Canis lupus familiaris: one gene and its partner. The protein of the gene in region 1 interacts with the protein of each later gene in a pairwise test. Links are inferred from orthologs where the notes say so. Each region holds a gene or a part of one and is shown on either strand. Other genes may lie near its edges.

What was found.
Region 2: the proteins of PPFIA1 (region 1) and PTPRF interact in a two-hybrid assay, tested with the Homo sapiens proteins (2 studies listed by BioGRID). The link is inferred for Canis lupus familiaris from reciprocal best matches to the Homo sapiens genes PPFIA1 and PTPRF.

What each region holds. Positions count from the first base shown.
Region 1 is NC_049239.1:48,437,916-48,445,597, reverse strand, and holds part of PPFIA1 (liprin-alpha-1), read left to right. Parts: intron 1-236; coding exon 237-299; intron 300-803; coding exon 804-830; intron 831-5,497; coding exon 5,498-5,673; intron 5,674-5,785; coding exon 5,786-5,883; intron 5,884-7,682. UniProt on the Homo sapiens protein: May regulate the disassembly of focal adhesions. May localize receptor-like tyrosine phosphatases type 2A at specific sites on the plasma membrane, possibly regulating their interaction with the extracellular environment and their association with substrates.
Region 2 is NC_049236.1:16,715,484-16,723,165, forward strand, and holds part of PTPRF (receptor-type tyrosine-protein phosphatase F), read right to left. Parts: intron 6,237-7,682; coding exon 5,967-6,236; intron 4,497-5,966; coding exon 3,915-4,496; intron 3,700-3,914; coding exon 3,563-3,699; intron 3,162-3,562; coding exon 3,017-3,161; intron 1-3,016. UniProt on the Homo sapiens protein: Possible cell adhesion receptor. It possesses an intrinsic protein tyrosine phosphatase activity (PTPase) and dephosphorylates EPHA2 regulating its activity.

The DNA of each region.
Region 1 (7,682 bases):
GCTCATGGGTTACTGACAGCAGTGTTAGTCAGATGTGGTTATTCTTTGTAAAGGGGGGGAGCTTGTTTTAATGTTCTGTCGTTTTCCACACGGGCATCTAAAATGAAAAGGTGAGAAGAATGGCCTCGGCCTCCACCTGCTCCTTTTATTTGCCTGAGGCTTACGTGTCTGCCACCTTTCCTCTTTGTCACTGCTTCCCTTGCCCTGGATGTGCTTGGTCACTGGGGTCACCCTAGACCACAGGAAATGTCTGGTTAACGCATGAAGAGATGGAAACACTCACGGCCACGCCACAAACGGTCAGTCACAGCCCCGGGCTCACCTTCCCCCGTGCTCCCCACCCAAGAGCGGCACGATTCTTGGCTTTTCCTTGGGAAACAAAAATGTCATTTCACATTAAATTGTTCCGATAAGTATTTCCATTAGGTATTAGTTAAATGTGTGAAATGGAATTCTATTTTAGATTTTTCTTTGGGACCTTAAAATTGGTAGACTCGCTCTACTTAGAATAGATTTAACTCCTATCTCCTTCTGGAGAGACCTCAGTTTGGTGCTTGGTTTTCATGTTCTGGCCTTAGTTTTCTCCTTATATGGACATGCTTGCCATGGGAAATTGGCTCTTTGCATGAGAAATTGGAATTGTTGGTTTTGCATGAGTTTTGCATGATGCATTCTTTGATTTATTTATTTTTACTCTTTCACTCAGTCACTGCACCTTCCCTACAACATTAATTTGCTTGCATCACTCAGCTCACCAATACTAATAGTTATGTTCTTTTGCATTCCTAACCTCGTAACACCAGGAGGATGAGGAGGGAAGCTGGGCTCAGGTTGGAGACTCTCTATAATATACTCTTCACTATATGTACCGCAGCAAAAGAGCTGGAGTATGAAAGCTTGTAATTGACTTTTCTTGACATTTTTAACATCTTAATTTGTGCAGAATATTGTTGATGATTTAAAGCATTAGTCAGAGCGAAGCATAGGATTAAAGAGTACGTCTCATGGACAATTTTGAACCTTTCTCACGTGGCACCATGGCGGTTTATTCTGTTTAACATAGATTACTTCTTTAGCACACGACTGTCCTGCAGAGTGCCATGGCTTTGGCAGCTCTCAGGATAAGGACCCAGCACAATAGTTGGCACAGGGGCTTTCCCTCCCTGTCTGCGTATCAGGGTGTGACTAAGTGCTGCCCTGGTGCTGTGTTGATCGAGACGTTTTCTCACTCATGGGATTCTCAGGAATCAAGCCTCTCTCCTTAAAAACGTACATTCAAATTTTCAGCTTCCGGGTTCTTCAACTCACCAAAAGCTCTGTCATGACTGTTTTGCAGCCGTGATTTGAGACAGCTTGATTAAAAGGAGTGGTTTCCTACTTGTGATTCTAGCAACCTTGCTGCCTGACTTGCTATTCTGTTTTAGTGCCAAGTCGGAGGCTGTGAGGGCGCGGCCAGGCGGTTCGTCCTGAGGCTGTTACTAATGGCATCATGTTCAAGGATCTCAAAAGGATATGGTATATCTGAAAAAAATCAAACTAATCTTAAATCTGATGTTCCTCATTTCTGGTCAGTGGTGGAAACAGCTCTTCTCCTCTATCTGTACTCCTAAATTATAGCCAATATTATCACTTTTTTAAAAAGCAGAAGAGGAGAGTGGCTGTAACATTCTGTGAGCACCCTCTCAACCCCTTTGATTTCAGCACTCTGTGCCACTACTCCAGATACATATCCTCATTGATCATTTCGCCTGCTCAGAATCAGGGCCTAACCATCAGTGAATCAAAAAGGGTGCATTTTGTAATTGCTTAAACATCAGTGTGTTGGACGCTAAGAAGGAGAACTTTGGCAGCACCTCCATATGAAACTCCTTATATTGGGGCGAGACTTGTAAACTAAACAAGCTGAATGTTTGCTCTTTGCAGTGGAAACATAAACAAGGACGAGCTGTGCCAATGACGTCAGAATTAGCTTGCATTGATGGTTTCCACTCCATCCCTCTTCTAGAGGAGAGGAGAATGAAGAGGCATCATGGTCTCTGTGCAGCTGCTAACCTGCTGCCAAGGGTGGAAGTCCTACAGTGCACCTTCCATGTGCTGTTACATAGTGACCAGCTCTTAAGCCAAGGGAGAGTTTGAGATGCCCTTGGGCACTCAGGGGAGGAAAACATCAAGGTGTGGTCAATTCATGGATGCCTTCACTTAGCAGGTAGCATCAGTGTGTTCTTTGCAAAACGGAGCTGCCTGTTGGTGCCACCTACCATCATCCCTCACATTTCACAGAGGTTACAAAGCTGAATTGTATTTGTGTTCTCATTTCATTGCTGGAAAAAATAGAGCCCATGCAGTGGCAGTCTCTTGCAGTCCAGGTGTTCTCTGACCATGAGATATCCCTGTTGTGTCCTCCCTTCAGAAGGCTGTGACCATAGTCCAGGAGGTGTGGATCTCCCTGGCTTTGAGCCTGGTTCCCCTGGAGCTCACATTACAGATCACTTAAGAAGTGGGACTAGAGTATGTAATGAATAAACAACATTAAGGAGAGCTCTGCTCCCATGGAATTGTCTGTTGAGAAATTTCTTTGCATTTTATGTTCAAGGATACATAAACAGAGGGAAGAAAGCAGTGACATATTCACACACTTAAGTGTCTGTCAGGTCTATGATATTGAGAGTGAGGTTTGAAAGAGTGAAAAAACATGACCCTGTGACAATTTTCCAAAAATGTTTGCTGCTTTTCTCACTCATGGTTATTTAGAGAAAGTAGTGAAACAGTTTCTTTTTCTATTGAATTTGAGCATTCTTGTTGAAATTTTGACTCATTTCTTTTAGCTTGTTTGGTGTAAATAGTAGATCAGAGGCTGTGTTTTCAACCCTCACCTTGTGGCTAGCTGAGAGTTACTGTTTCCAAGGATTCCGCAAGGCAACTACAGAATTCCTGTGACTATAGCTTAGGCTTCTTGGACTGAAGAACATCCAGTACCTTTGTTTGATGCTATTCATTTACTTCTCATCGCAGAAATCTTGCACATATTCTGTCAGATTTATCCCCAAGGATTTCATGGTTTTTGATGATATTACAAATGGTATTTTTTTAAATCTCCATTTCAGGCTCATTTCTAAAAGTATTTAGAAATACAGTTCACTTTTGTTTGTATATAGACCTTGTATCCTGCTACCAGGTTAAACTCACTTGAGTCCGGACAGCTGCTCTATATCCCATTTTCTAATAATGATGATCAGGTCATCTGCAAACAAAGAGAGTTTTACTTCTTTTCCAACCCATACGGATTTGACTTCTTTTTCTTGCCTTGTTACAATGGCTGGGGATTCCAGTCAGGGTTGAATGAAAGTGGTGGGAGCAGACATCCTTCATTTTCTTTGTTCCTGAGTTTAGGAAAAATGCATTCAGTCTTTCACCACAAAGTGTGCCATCAGCGCTACATTTTTTTGTAGACCCTTTATCAGGCTGAGGCAGTTGTCTTCTGTGTCTAGATTGCCCAGATTTCCATGAATGAGTGATGATTTGATCACACACCTTTTTCACATGTCTGTCATTTTTCTTTTTTAGTCCTTTGATACAGGGAATTTCTCTGATTTTCAAATATTGACCCAACTTATGTTCCTGGAGTAAACCCCACTTGTCATGATATCTTACTCTTAATTTATTACTGATTTGATTTGCTAATATTTTGTTAAGGAAAATTTGCATCTGTGTCTATGAGAGCTGCTCATTGGTCTGTAGTTTTCTTGTAATATGTCCAGTTTTCTTATCAGGATAATGATGCTCTTGGAGAATGAGTAAGATATTTCTTCTGCTTCATTTTTTTTGTAATAGTTTGCATAGAATTGGTACTTTTTAAATAAACGTTTGGTAGAGTTCAACAGTGAAGGCATGCAGTGTAGAGTTTGCACCTCTGTGTGTGTGTGTGTGTGTGTGTGTGTGTGTGTGTGTGTGTGGTTTACAGCTACAAATTCAAGTTCAGGTATGGGTAATCTGAGTGGTTCTCATACATTATGTCTATCATGAAATTTACCCATTTTATCCAGGTTGCTTATAGCTGTCCACAGTTTTCCCATATTACCCTTTCAGTGTCTGTAGGGTCTGTGCCAATGCCCCCTCTTTCATTCTTGATGTTGGTGTTTTGTATCTTTCTTCTTGATCACTCTGGGTAGGGGTCTGTCGAGTTTAGTGATGTTTATGAAAATCCAGGTTTTACTTTCATCGTTTTATTTTCTACCATTTTTCTGGTTTCTGTTTCACAGATTTCTGCTCTTTTATTTCCTTCCTTCTACTTGCTGTGAATTTCATTTTTTTTCAAGTTTTTAAAGGTAAAATCTTAGATTATTGACTTACAATCTTTCCTCATTTATAACATAAGCACTTAATACTGTAAACTGCCCTCAGGACACTGCTCCAGCTGTGTCTCACAATTTTATGAATGTATTGTTTGTGCACTTACTTTTTTTTTTAAGGTTTTATTTATAAGTAATCTCTGCACTAGTGTGGGGCTCAAACTCAACCCCGTGATCAAGTCACACACTCCACTGACTGAGCCAGCCAGGTGTCGCTTGCATATTCACTTTCATTCAGTTCCAAATGTTTTCCCATTTCCCTTGTGATTCCTTTTTTTTGACACATAGGTTATTTGGAAGTGTGCTAATTCCAAATACTTGGGAGTTTTCTGAATGTCTTTTTATTATGAGTTTCTAATTTAATTTCTCTTAAGGTTAGAGGAGATATACTTGGTATGATTTCAGTCTCTTTAAATACATGGAGATTTGTCTGTGTTGGAGAATGTTCTGTGTGCACTCCTTTTGGGTGGAGTGCTGTCTCGTATCAGTTGGGTCGGGTTGGTTGACACTGCGGCTTCAGTGCTTCTCCATCTGTGCAAGCCTGTTGTTTGGCCCAGTTGCTCAGTCAGTTACCAAACTATGGATGGTGGTGGGGAGGGATGTCTCCTGTGTCCTCTCCATCTTACCATGTTCATCTCTTCTTTTAAATCTGTGTTTTAACTCACTTTTTTAAAATCTGATTTTGAAATTAACAGATGTTTTATTAATGAAATATAGAAAACAAAGTGTTAAAAATAAAATGAAAGCCAGCCAGAGGTATTTTTAATGAGTAGACTTGGATGATTCTTCAAACTTGTTCATGAGCCGTGATTGTTCTTTGTTGATCATTATACATGAAAACTAGCTCAGAAAGACAGTGCATAACCAGTCAGTTTTACTGTGCTTTGTTTGGTAAATACGTTAAATTCATAAGCACAAATGAGTCGTAAATTTGTAATGGTATAATTCCTTTTGTGCAAAATTTTACTGACAATATAAGAGTAAATGGGAGATCAAATTATTTTGAAATTATAAAAAATGATGTTATTAATTTAGCCTTTGAGAATATGGAACAGATTGAAAATCTAGTTTAAAGATAATTTAAATGACCCTTGTGACCTCTTCCATGACTTTTCTTCTGAACTGATGTGCTTAATTATTGCAACCAGACCCTTGCCTATGGGGACATGAACCATGAGTGGATTGGCAATGAGTGGCTGCCCAGCCTGGGCCTGGCGCAGTACCGCAGCTACTTCATGGAGTGCCTGGTAGACGCACGCATGCTGGACCACCTGACCAAAAAGGATCTGCGGGGCCAGCTGAAGATGGTCGACAGTTTCCACAGGTACGCCCTGCATGGTGCCCCTTGTTGGTTCACTCCAGGGGCTCACACCGCTGCCATGGCTAACTGGGTTTTTTTTTTTTTTTTTTTTTTGGTTTGTTGGTTTTATTAATAGAAACAGTTTCCAGTGTGGAATTATGTGCCTACGGAGATTAAATTATGACCGAAAAGAACTGGAGAGAAAGAGAGAAGAAAGCCAGAATGAAATCAAAGGCAAGTACATTATGTGCCATGGATGCACTATGTTTCTGCTTCCCATGATGCTGACAGCTCAGTGACTGCCTCCTTTTAAAAAAATCAGGAGGAGGGACGCCTGGGTGGCTCAGCGGTTGAGCGTCTGCCTTTGGCTCAGGGTGTGATCCCGGGATCCTGGGATCAAGTCCCACATCGGGCTCCCTGCAGGGAGCCTGCTTCTCCCTCTGCCTGTGTCTCTGTCTCTGTCTCTCTTTCTCTCTGTTTCTCTCATGAATAAATAAATAAAATCTTTAATAAAAATTTAAGAAAAAGTTAAAAATCAAGAGGAAAAAAAAAGAAGCTAAATAAATTTAAAATAAATTTAAAAATCACAAGGGGTGCCCACCTGGCTCTATCCATGGAGCACGTGACTCATGATCTTGGGGTTGTGGATTTGAGCCCCGTGTTGGGTGTAGAGATGACTTCAAAATAAAATTTTAAAAAATTAAAATTAAACAAACACGATAAAATAATGAGGAAAGGCTTTAGTGGAGAAAACCAGTCTGGCATCATTACAGAGGAGAGAGGGATTGGGTGCCTCTCAGACCCTCTTCTGTGACTGGAGACCCTGTGCCTGGTTGTCTGTGCTTGTGGCAGTCTGTAGGGTCTGGGTCTCAGGGTGAGCATTTTCCTGTGACCTCAGACACTTCCTGTTGTAAGGATACATGTCCTCTTTTGTTGAGAATTGCTGCCACACGCCACTAGATAGCAACAGAGCAGAGCTGAACAGGCCCCTGCATTCTTGGCATCAGCATGAAAAATACTGCTCTCTATCCAAGGCCCTGAGCCCACAGTAAAAGAGTGTGGCTCTGCTCCCATGGCTGAGGGAATGGCACAGGGTTAACGTGGCAGCTGGGCCCTGAAGGTGATGGGAGCCTCTTATTGGGGTGGGGGTGCCAGCAGAGGCATTTTAGGTAAAGGGATGAGGGTGCTCAGCCAGGAGATGGCAGATGCTTCTCTCTGTTGGGAGCTACCCACCCAGGGCACATCTGAGTGAGCGGGTGTAGTAGTTTGCTTTGAAATAAGACATTAACAATTAAGCTCAAAGTACAGTCTCCCCCAATTTTCAGTATAAAGAAATCACTAAGAATGGTTATAGCAAACGAGGCCTATTGACCAACTCTAAGCATATAGGTTAATTTATGGAATCCTTACTACCATGGTCCTGTATGTGCTATTTTCATACCTTATCCTTACGAGGCCAGAAGTTAAAGATAAAAATATGGTTGGGGAGACGGCCCACTTGAAGGATAGTCTAATCATGATTGAGTTAGTGTGAATCACAAGAAAAACCATAAGCAAACATTTGTGATATGTATTCTATACACATATAAAATAATACATTTAACATATAAATATGGTAACAATCTCTAAATATTTTATGTGTGTGTGCACCCGTGTCTGTACATCTCTTCTTTTTTTTTTTCTAGAAAAGGACGTGGGAAATGAGATACATAAATCTGTTTCATTTGTTTTGTATTTCTGTCTTAAATCTTTCACAGTTGACAAAAGCTGTTTTTGAAAGTAACTGGCGATCATCTGGATATATTTTTACAGGGTGGCTATTTTTAGATCTCTACTAAAGCAAATTTAATAATTTATTAGTTTGCATAAATATAAGATCTTCCCCTACCGTGTCTAATACACTGGAGAATATATTCAAGTTTTTCTGTTTTTAAAATGCAACAACAGAAAAGTCCTTGGGATTGTAAGGGAGGGGTTTGTGTTTAATTGACAACATGCCCAGCTACGGTGCCAGCGCCTCTCTTTAAGGGGAA
Region 2 (7,682 bases), on another chromosome or scaffold:
GAGTCCCCTGGGGTCAGGAAGCAGATGTGGGCCCCCTTCCCTCGCCCCCAGGGGCATATCCAGGCCTCAGTCCCACCAAGGAACCTGGTGCTGTTACGTGGCTTCCTCACCATCTGGAGTTGCAGCCCCACACTGTGCCAGGGTGACTTGGGCACCTCCCTCCCCGGCCCCTGAGGCCCTCATCTCCACGGCTTTCTCCTTCCCTGCACCGCAGTGGGCACACCCTGGGTATCGCCACGCTCAGGATGGTCCTACTCCCTGCACGTGGCCTCCCACACCCCCTCGCAGACCCTCACCTTGTGCCAGCTCAGCTGCTCAAGGTGCCCAGCAGCACCCTGGCTCCTCGCCCCCCTGCGACCTCCACCCGTTCGCCTACCATCCTTACCGCCCTCAATATTGGGCTTTGACCTTGAGGTCTGCACCTCACCATCTACCCCCAACTCCCTCACTTATTTCTCTTTCCACGCCCCTGCCCGGCCGGTGCCAAGCCCTGGATGGGTCCAACCCTCTGCCCTCTCCAAGGCGGTCGGTCCTGAGGCAGGTGGAAAAGCGTTGCCTGCCCTGGAAGGCTGGCATCCTGTGTGCAAAGTCCCCAGTGGCCTCACCTGGGCCCTGTGTGCTGTCTGCAGCCTCTCTTCTCTGCCCAGCTCACTCTGCTGCTGTACACAGAACGTTTTCAACCTCCTCCACGCTCCGCTAACCTCCAGCTCTCAGCACACAACTGTCTCCCACTTTGCAGAGAAAACTGAAGCCTCCCACCAGCAGCTCCCTCTATCTCTTGCTACCAAACCCACCGAACAACTGCAATCTCGCTGAGCTGCCCTTGCTTCCCACGAGGAGGGAGCTGTGCTCTCCCGTCCAAGGTGGATCTCTCTCATCCATGCTGTCCCCTCCCCCTACCTCCTGAGCCTCCAAAATCCTTGTCTTTCCTGAATTTTCGACTTCTCCGACTTCTCAGAATGGACTCATTCCTCACCACGTTTAAACTGCTCAAGGGCAGCCCCGGTGGCCCAGCGGTTTAGCGCCGCCTTCAGCCCAAGGCCTGATCCTGCAGACTCGGGATCAAGTCCCAAGTCAGGCTCCCTGCAGGGAGCCTGCTTCTCCCTCTGCCTGTGTCTCTGCTTCTCTCTCTGTGTCTCTCATGAATGAATAAATAAAATCTTAAAAAAAAAAAAAAAGTTCAAAAATTTCCTATCTTTAAAGACAAAAGCCCATCCTTGGGCCTGCAGCACTCAGCCTCTACCTATAGCAGTCCCCTCCCTCCGGCTAGGCCTCACAACCCTCGCCCCAGGTCCTCCATCCAGCAGACGCTCCTGCCTCCTGCGTTCCTCTGGCCCTGACTGCTCAGCAGCAGCATCGGCTCTGTTCCTTCTGCTCTCTTCTTCCAGCCTCCGAGACACTCCCCTCTCTGGGATTTCCCACTACCTCTGGTCTTTGTCCTCAGAGTCCCTCACCCCTAGCTCAGCATCGCCACCTGCACGGCTGGCACAAGGCCCCGGGCTGAGGTGCCTGCTTTGGCCCTACTTCCTCCCCTCTTCCCAGGTCTGCACACCAGAAGCACAGACTTCGCCTGATGCTCTCCTTTCCCTCAGCATCCAAAAGCCAAGCCGTCACCGAGTCCCAGGCAGCTGGCACCCCAGACGGCTATCTGATCCACCACCATCACCACATCTGAGCTGCCGTCTTTTGCTTAGACTCTTGCACAGCCTCCCAACTGGTGTCCGGCATCCCGCTGGGCTGTCCCATGCATGCTTGCCCAGCAGCTGGGTCAGCCCTCCTACCTGTCTTGTCCTCTTAACCCGTGGCCAGCTGCCATGGCCTGCTGCTTATCCCAAACCACAACTAAGTGCCTTCCCGCTTCAGGGTCTTTGCACCTGCTGCCCCTCTGCGTGAGGCCTACATCACCCAAGGAAGCCCCCCTGGCCCCCTCAGACCAGATGAAGCTCCAATCCCAGCACCTCTCCACTGTTTGTCTCCTCCGCAGCACTTCAGACAAATGTAATTAAAAGCTCATTTGGATAATTGCAGGTTGAACATCTATCTGCCCCACTAGACTAGGATTCCCTGCAGGTACGGGCCACGTCGGGGTCATGCTGCCAGCCCTGCTCCGTGCATGGGCACAGTGGGAGCGCAGCAGGTGCCTGTAAGTCAGATCCGTGAACATGGGGTCGCATCTACACAGTCTGGGGGCACATGGACCGCCTCACAGACACTGCCGTGATTAAGGCTGTCACACGTGCTGTAACTGCCTCAATGTCATGATCCTGTCCAGCCACATATCCATGGCCCCTGTTAGCACACAGAGCCTCACAGCCACCCAATCCCGGGGCACACCAGACACTCATACGGGTGCGGCCCTGCCAGGTGGCCACACAGGGTCACACGCAGGTCCACAGCACTAGTCTCACGTACACAGGAATACGATAACCACACAGCAGGCAGCCCCACACGCGGAAGGCCGCGTGGTCCTAAGGCAGGCACGTGGACAGTCTGCCACCCGGGTTCGTTCTCACAGACGTGTCCCTACGTGCCGTAGGCTCAGTGTGATGACACAGCTCCCATGTTCCTCCCGTGGTGCGGGGCATGAGGCAGGGAATGCAGGTGACAGGGGAGATGAGATGTGGGGATATGGAGCAGGAGGACAGCTGCCAGAGCGGGGACATGTCTGAGACATGGCAAGCGTGGCTGTCCCAGCGCTGAGCATGGCCCAGTCAGCTAGTGTGACCAGCGCAGACGGGTGGGGGCGGGGGAGGGGGATGAGTCACAGACACAGAACTTACCTGGTGGGGGGCTGGGGGAGGGAGGGACAGAAGTCAGGTGGGGAACGGCATGGGCAGCAACTGCCTGGACACAGACTAGTGGGAACTTACCTGCCCCTGTGAGTCCAGACCCGGAGCCCAGACAAGAGCCCATCCGGGGCCCAGCAGACCTGACCACCCCCCCGGTTGAGGGAGAAGGGCGTGTGTGTCTCTGCCCCGGCCCAGCTACAGGAGGCGTAGCCTCAGAAGACACTTACTGGACTGTGCTGTGCGGGCCTCAACGGTGGGGGTGAACACGCCCACCCCCATCTCGGAACGGGCGGCCAGCTGGAAGTGGTACAGTGTGTCAGGCTTCAGGTCCTCCAGGGTGTAGGAGGAGGTGGGGTCGAAGGTCACCTTGTGCTGGAAGAGCAGGGAGCACTCACTGACTGCTCTGACCTCACAGGCTGCTCCCCAACCTGGGCTGCGGCTGGCCCCTGTGGACCCACTGTGGCCTAGGGCCGCCTCCACATCACACGGCCACTGCACAGACTCCGTGGCCATGAGCATCTGAGACAACAGCTCTGTGAGTGCCAGGTAAGCCGCAGAGCCGGAGAGACCCAAGGGCAGACCGAGGGACTGTCGCCCAGCAGTGGGGACAAAGACTATAGAACCACGCTGGCCACGTGAGCCCCAGGGCCACCCCTGGGGGCCATGTCCGTACAACCACAGGATCCAGAAAGTCTGCCCGGGGGAGCCCCGCACAGAGCCTACGGGATCCAGGGGAGCCCTCCTCCCTGCTCTTGTCCCCGCTGAGCACCCACCTGCTGGCCTTCATCCTCTGCTGCCCAATACACCAGCTCGTACTTGATGATCCGCTCCTGCGGGGGAAGCAGCCACGAGAGCTGGATCCTGGTGTCCGACTCTGCTTCAGCCTGGAAGTCCGCCGGTTGCGCAGGCACTGCAACACCCCCACACCCCCACGCCAGGCGCCGTGAGCCTTGCCAGTTCCCCACGAGGGCCGGTGGCACCCGGAGAAAGGAGGCATGGGAAGACAGCCCCGGGACCCTGTCCCGCATCCCAGGTGACCGTGCACGGCGGGGTACAGGCCCTCAGCCTCCCCCAGCCCCCAAGGCCCCGCCGCAGTGGCCAGGCCGGCGTGCTGCCCGCACCCACCTCCCTGCTGTGTCTTGACCTGGATGGTGGGGCTGGGAGGGCCGTCGCCCACGGCGGTGAAGGCCAGCACGCGCAGGCTGTAGGTGATTCCGGGCAGCAGGCTGCCCACGGTGGTGAGGAGGCCCGCGTCCGTGTTGTGCTTGTGCCAGGCGCTCAGGGGGCGGCGGGCGTCGGGAGTGTAGTAGACGCGGTACCCTCGCACCAGGCCGTTGGGCTCCTCGGGCGGCTCCCACTGCACCAGCATGGTGCTCGCGCTCAGCATGCGTGCCTGCACGCGGCGCGGGGGGCTGGAGGGCGCCTGCTCTCCCGTGCGTGCCCGCACCGCCTCGCTGGGTGGTCCCCGGCCGATGCTGTTCACCGCCAGCACGCGGAAGGCGTACTCGGAGAAGGGGCTGAGGCCGCCAATGCTGTAGCGGGTGGTGGCCACACCGTCCACCTCCTGGAAGGGGCCCTCCGTCCCCGCCGCGCGGTACTGGATGCCGTAGTAGGACACAGGCTCTGAGTTCCCAGAGTCCCAGGTCAGGGTGACGCTGGTGGCAGTTGTCTCAGTCACCAGGAGGTCGATTGGAGGTTTCGGCAGAGCTGGGAGACAAAGCGGGAGGCTCAGAGCTGCCCGAGGTCAGGACCCCAGAGGCCAATCCTGCTCCGGGTGTTAACTACCCATGGTACAGCTGGCCCTCACGGGCCTCCTTGAAAAATGGCCTGGGGAGCTCGAGGTGACCTCAAAGGGCACCTAGCGGGGGATGGCGACACCTGTCAGAGCCCTCAGGGGCCTTCGGTCATCTAGGGTCTACCCACATCACTTCCAGAACTCACTGGCTCCTCACTTAACAACAGCCCCAGAGGTGGCGTGGCCTGGCCGGGTCCCTGCAGATGGAAAGCGCGCCGGCTGGGAGGCAGAGGTCTGCCTTTGGGGCTTGCCTGCGCTTCCTCACGTGTAACTGGGGTTGGTGTCGGGGAGAGATGTGCCTAAGACAGCCTGGACGGGGCTGCTGGCCCTACACACCTGTGGCTTGGCTCAAATTGAAGGTGGAGCAGTCCCAGATCCCAGGCCAAACATTACACAATTATCAAGTGCCTACTAAGTGCTAGGCGCGGTGCTGGGCTGAGGACACAAGGTCACACTGTTGGTCACATCTCTGCTCTGGTGGACTTTACATTCTAGGGTGAGTGGAAAGCACCGAGTCCGTAACGATGACTCTGGCGCATGCGAGGACAGCAGAGAGCGGGAGGCTGAGCTGGGGAAAATCCACGAAGGCCTCAGAGAGCTGAGGCCCAGACAGTGAGAGGACCAGCACGGCGAGGGCTGGGTGAGGGCCGGAAGGAACCCAGCAGAGCCAGGAGGGCCAGGCAAGGGGAGTGAGGATCCTGCTCTTTGCCCTGAAAGCAATGGGAAGTCACTGGAAGGCAGTTTCTTAAAACAGTGGGGAGATCTTGCTTTGTATCTTCAAAAGATCATTCTAGTTGCAGAATGGAGGATGGGTCTGAGGAAGGAGGATGGAAGCACGGAGCCTGGAGGAGTGTGCGTGCCCATCCTGGGGCCCTGGTGGAGAGCCCACTCTCTGTGGCCACTCTTTCACTGCAGCCTTGACATGAGGCTGATGAAGCTGAGGGTCTGGCACCAGGACGTGGCTCGGGGGCCTTTCTGCGGCATCAGACCCCGCGGGTTCAAGTCCCCGTCCTGTCACTGACTCCTGCATGACCTTGCACCTCAGTTCTCTCATTTGTAAGAAGAGAATGAGAACGTCTACCTCCCAGCGTAACAGAGCAGTCTCTGTGCTAACCAGCACAATCTGTGCTAACCAGTACAGCATCTGCCCCCAGGAGCTCAGTACCCGTTAGCTATTATTACTAACATCACGAATAACAGAAACCTCTCTCTCCACCGAGGGCTGGCAGGACCCCAGGAAGCACCTGGGAGAGGGCAACGACCCCTCAACCTCATCCAACCCCACAACAGCCATGCTCACCTGCTACGGGTGCTGGGACCTCCCGTCACCCTCTGCACCAAGGCAGGCCTTAGGCCACAGCAGGCATGCACGTGGCACTCACCTTTCACTGTGACCTGGGCCGTGGCCTCGATCATGCCTAGAGAGGAGATGGCCACGCAGGTGTAGTTGGCAGAGCGCACGACATTGCTGAGCTCCAGCACGTTGCGGCCAACTGGCATCTCATCCTCCTTGGTGAGCTCCTCGGCCCCCATCATCCACTTCACGTAGGGCATGGGTGCCCCCACCGCAACACAAGTCAGGTTCACGCTGCCACCCGGCATCACCTCCTGGCTGCTGGGAGGGATGGAGAAACGAGGAGCCACACGGCGCACTGCAGGAGGAGGGAGAGAGGCACTCACAGGCCGGGCAAAATACTCGGGAGGATTGAAGGGCAGGGGCCCCTCATCCAGGAAGCCCCTCTTGTCAGAGCCAAACCCACCTGAGAGACAGGTGGGGCAGTACCAGGGCCCCGGCTTACCACCTCCCACCCCACTTTTGGCTACAAGTAGCCCCCACACTCAAGAGAATGGAACACAAGAGATTCCACAACCAAGCTCCCCCGTTTTACAGCCTAGGAAACTGAGGCCTAGAAATGTGCTGTCTGCCCAGGGTCACACAGGGATTCAGCGCAAGGTCCAGGCCCCAGGTCTATACCGCGGGCCTCCTCAGGGCCACATTCCAGGTTGCCATCTGGTGCCTGCCCCTACTTGCTCCTGACCCCCACTACGGGCCTCCAGAGGGGCTCACTGGGGCACGAGTGAAGTCCAGGCACCGTAGGGTGGAGGACCTCAGAGCATCTGGGGCAGGGCACAGGGCTGGTCCAGGAGTGACGTGGCCACCTTCTCTAGAGTCACGGCCTCCACCTCTGGGCCGTGACCTGAGGGAAGAGATGAGGGCAGGGGCATAATCGCCTGCCAGGATCTCAGCCATGCTTAAGGCACAACCTGGGAACTCCAGGGGAAGGGCTGCCCCTCAGAAGGGGGTGGGCAGGGGCAAGGGATCAGGGCAGGCCAGGGACGTGGTCCGCGGGCAGGATGGGCATGACGATGGCAGTAACATGATGAGTGCGCCGAACAGACGGCTTTCTGAGCCAATGAACAAGGGTCTCAAGGGAGAGGGTGGCTGTGCCTGGCCACGACCTCCGGCCTTGGGCTTCCCAGGCCAGAAACTGTTCTGAGCTTCCCAGGCCAAGGTGCAGCCTGGAAACCCCCAAAGTTGCAAGCTTGGTACAAACATTTGGAACATGCAGAGGGAGGGAAGTCAGGCAAGACCTAGCCATGGGCAGGCATGCTTGGCGTGCTGACGGGTCATGCAGCTGGTGGGCAGGGGCTGAAGTGTGTCCTTCGTGGGCACCCCTACCGACAGGGCTGGAGGAGGCAGGCAGTGAGGCAGAGTGACCAAACGGCCTCACTGAGAGTGTGTGGGTCTCCCAGGACCCTTGCTGGGGCGCCCGGCATGCAAAGGACCCATGCTGTCCCATCAGGAGCACCTCCGCTATGGGTTCCAGACTCTGCTGCTCGTGTAGCCCCAAACCACAAAATCAGAGCTGGAAGTAGTAACTACAGACACCATCTTGTCCAACCCCTGACCTCACTGCCACAGGGGTCAAGCTGTGGCCCAGAGCCTAGACACCCAAGGAATCACCTGTTAACGGATGGCCCGAAGGCATCTTTCCAACCCAGTAATTTTTCTCCAAACCCAGAGGTTCCCCAGGTTGGGGGTAGAGTTACTTAAAGAAAAAGAAATGCCTTGGAGTGAACCAACCCCAGAGGCTACT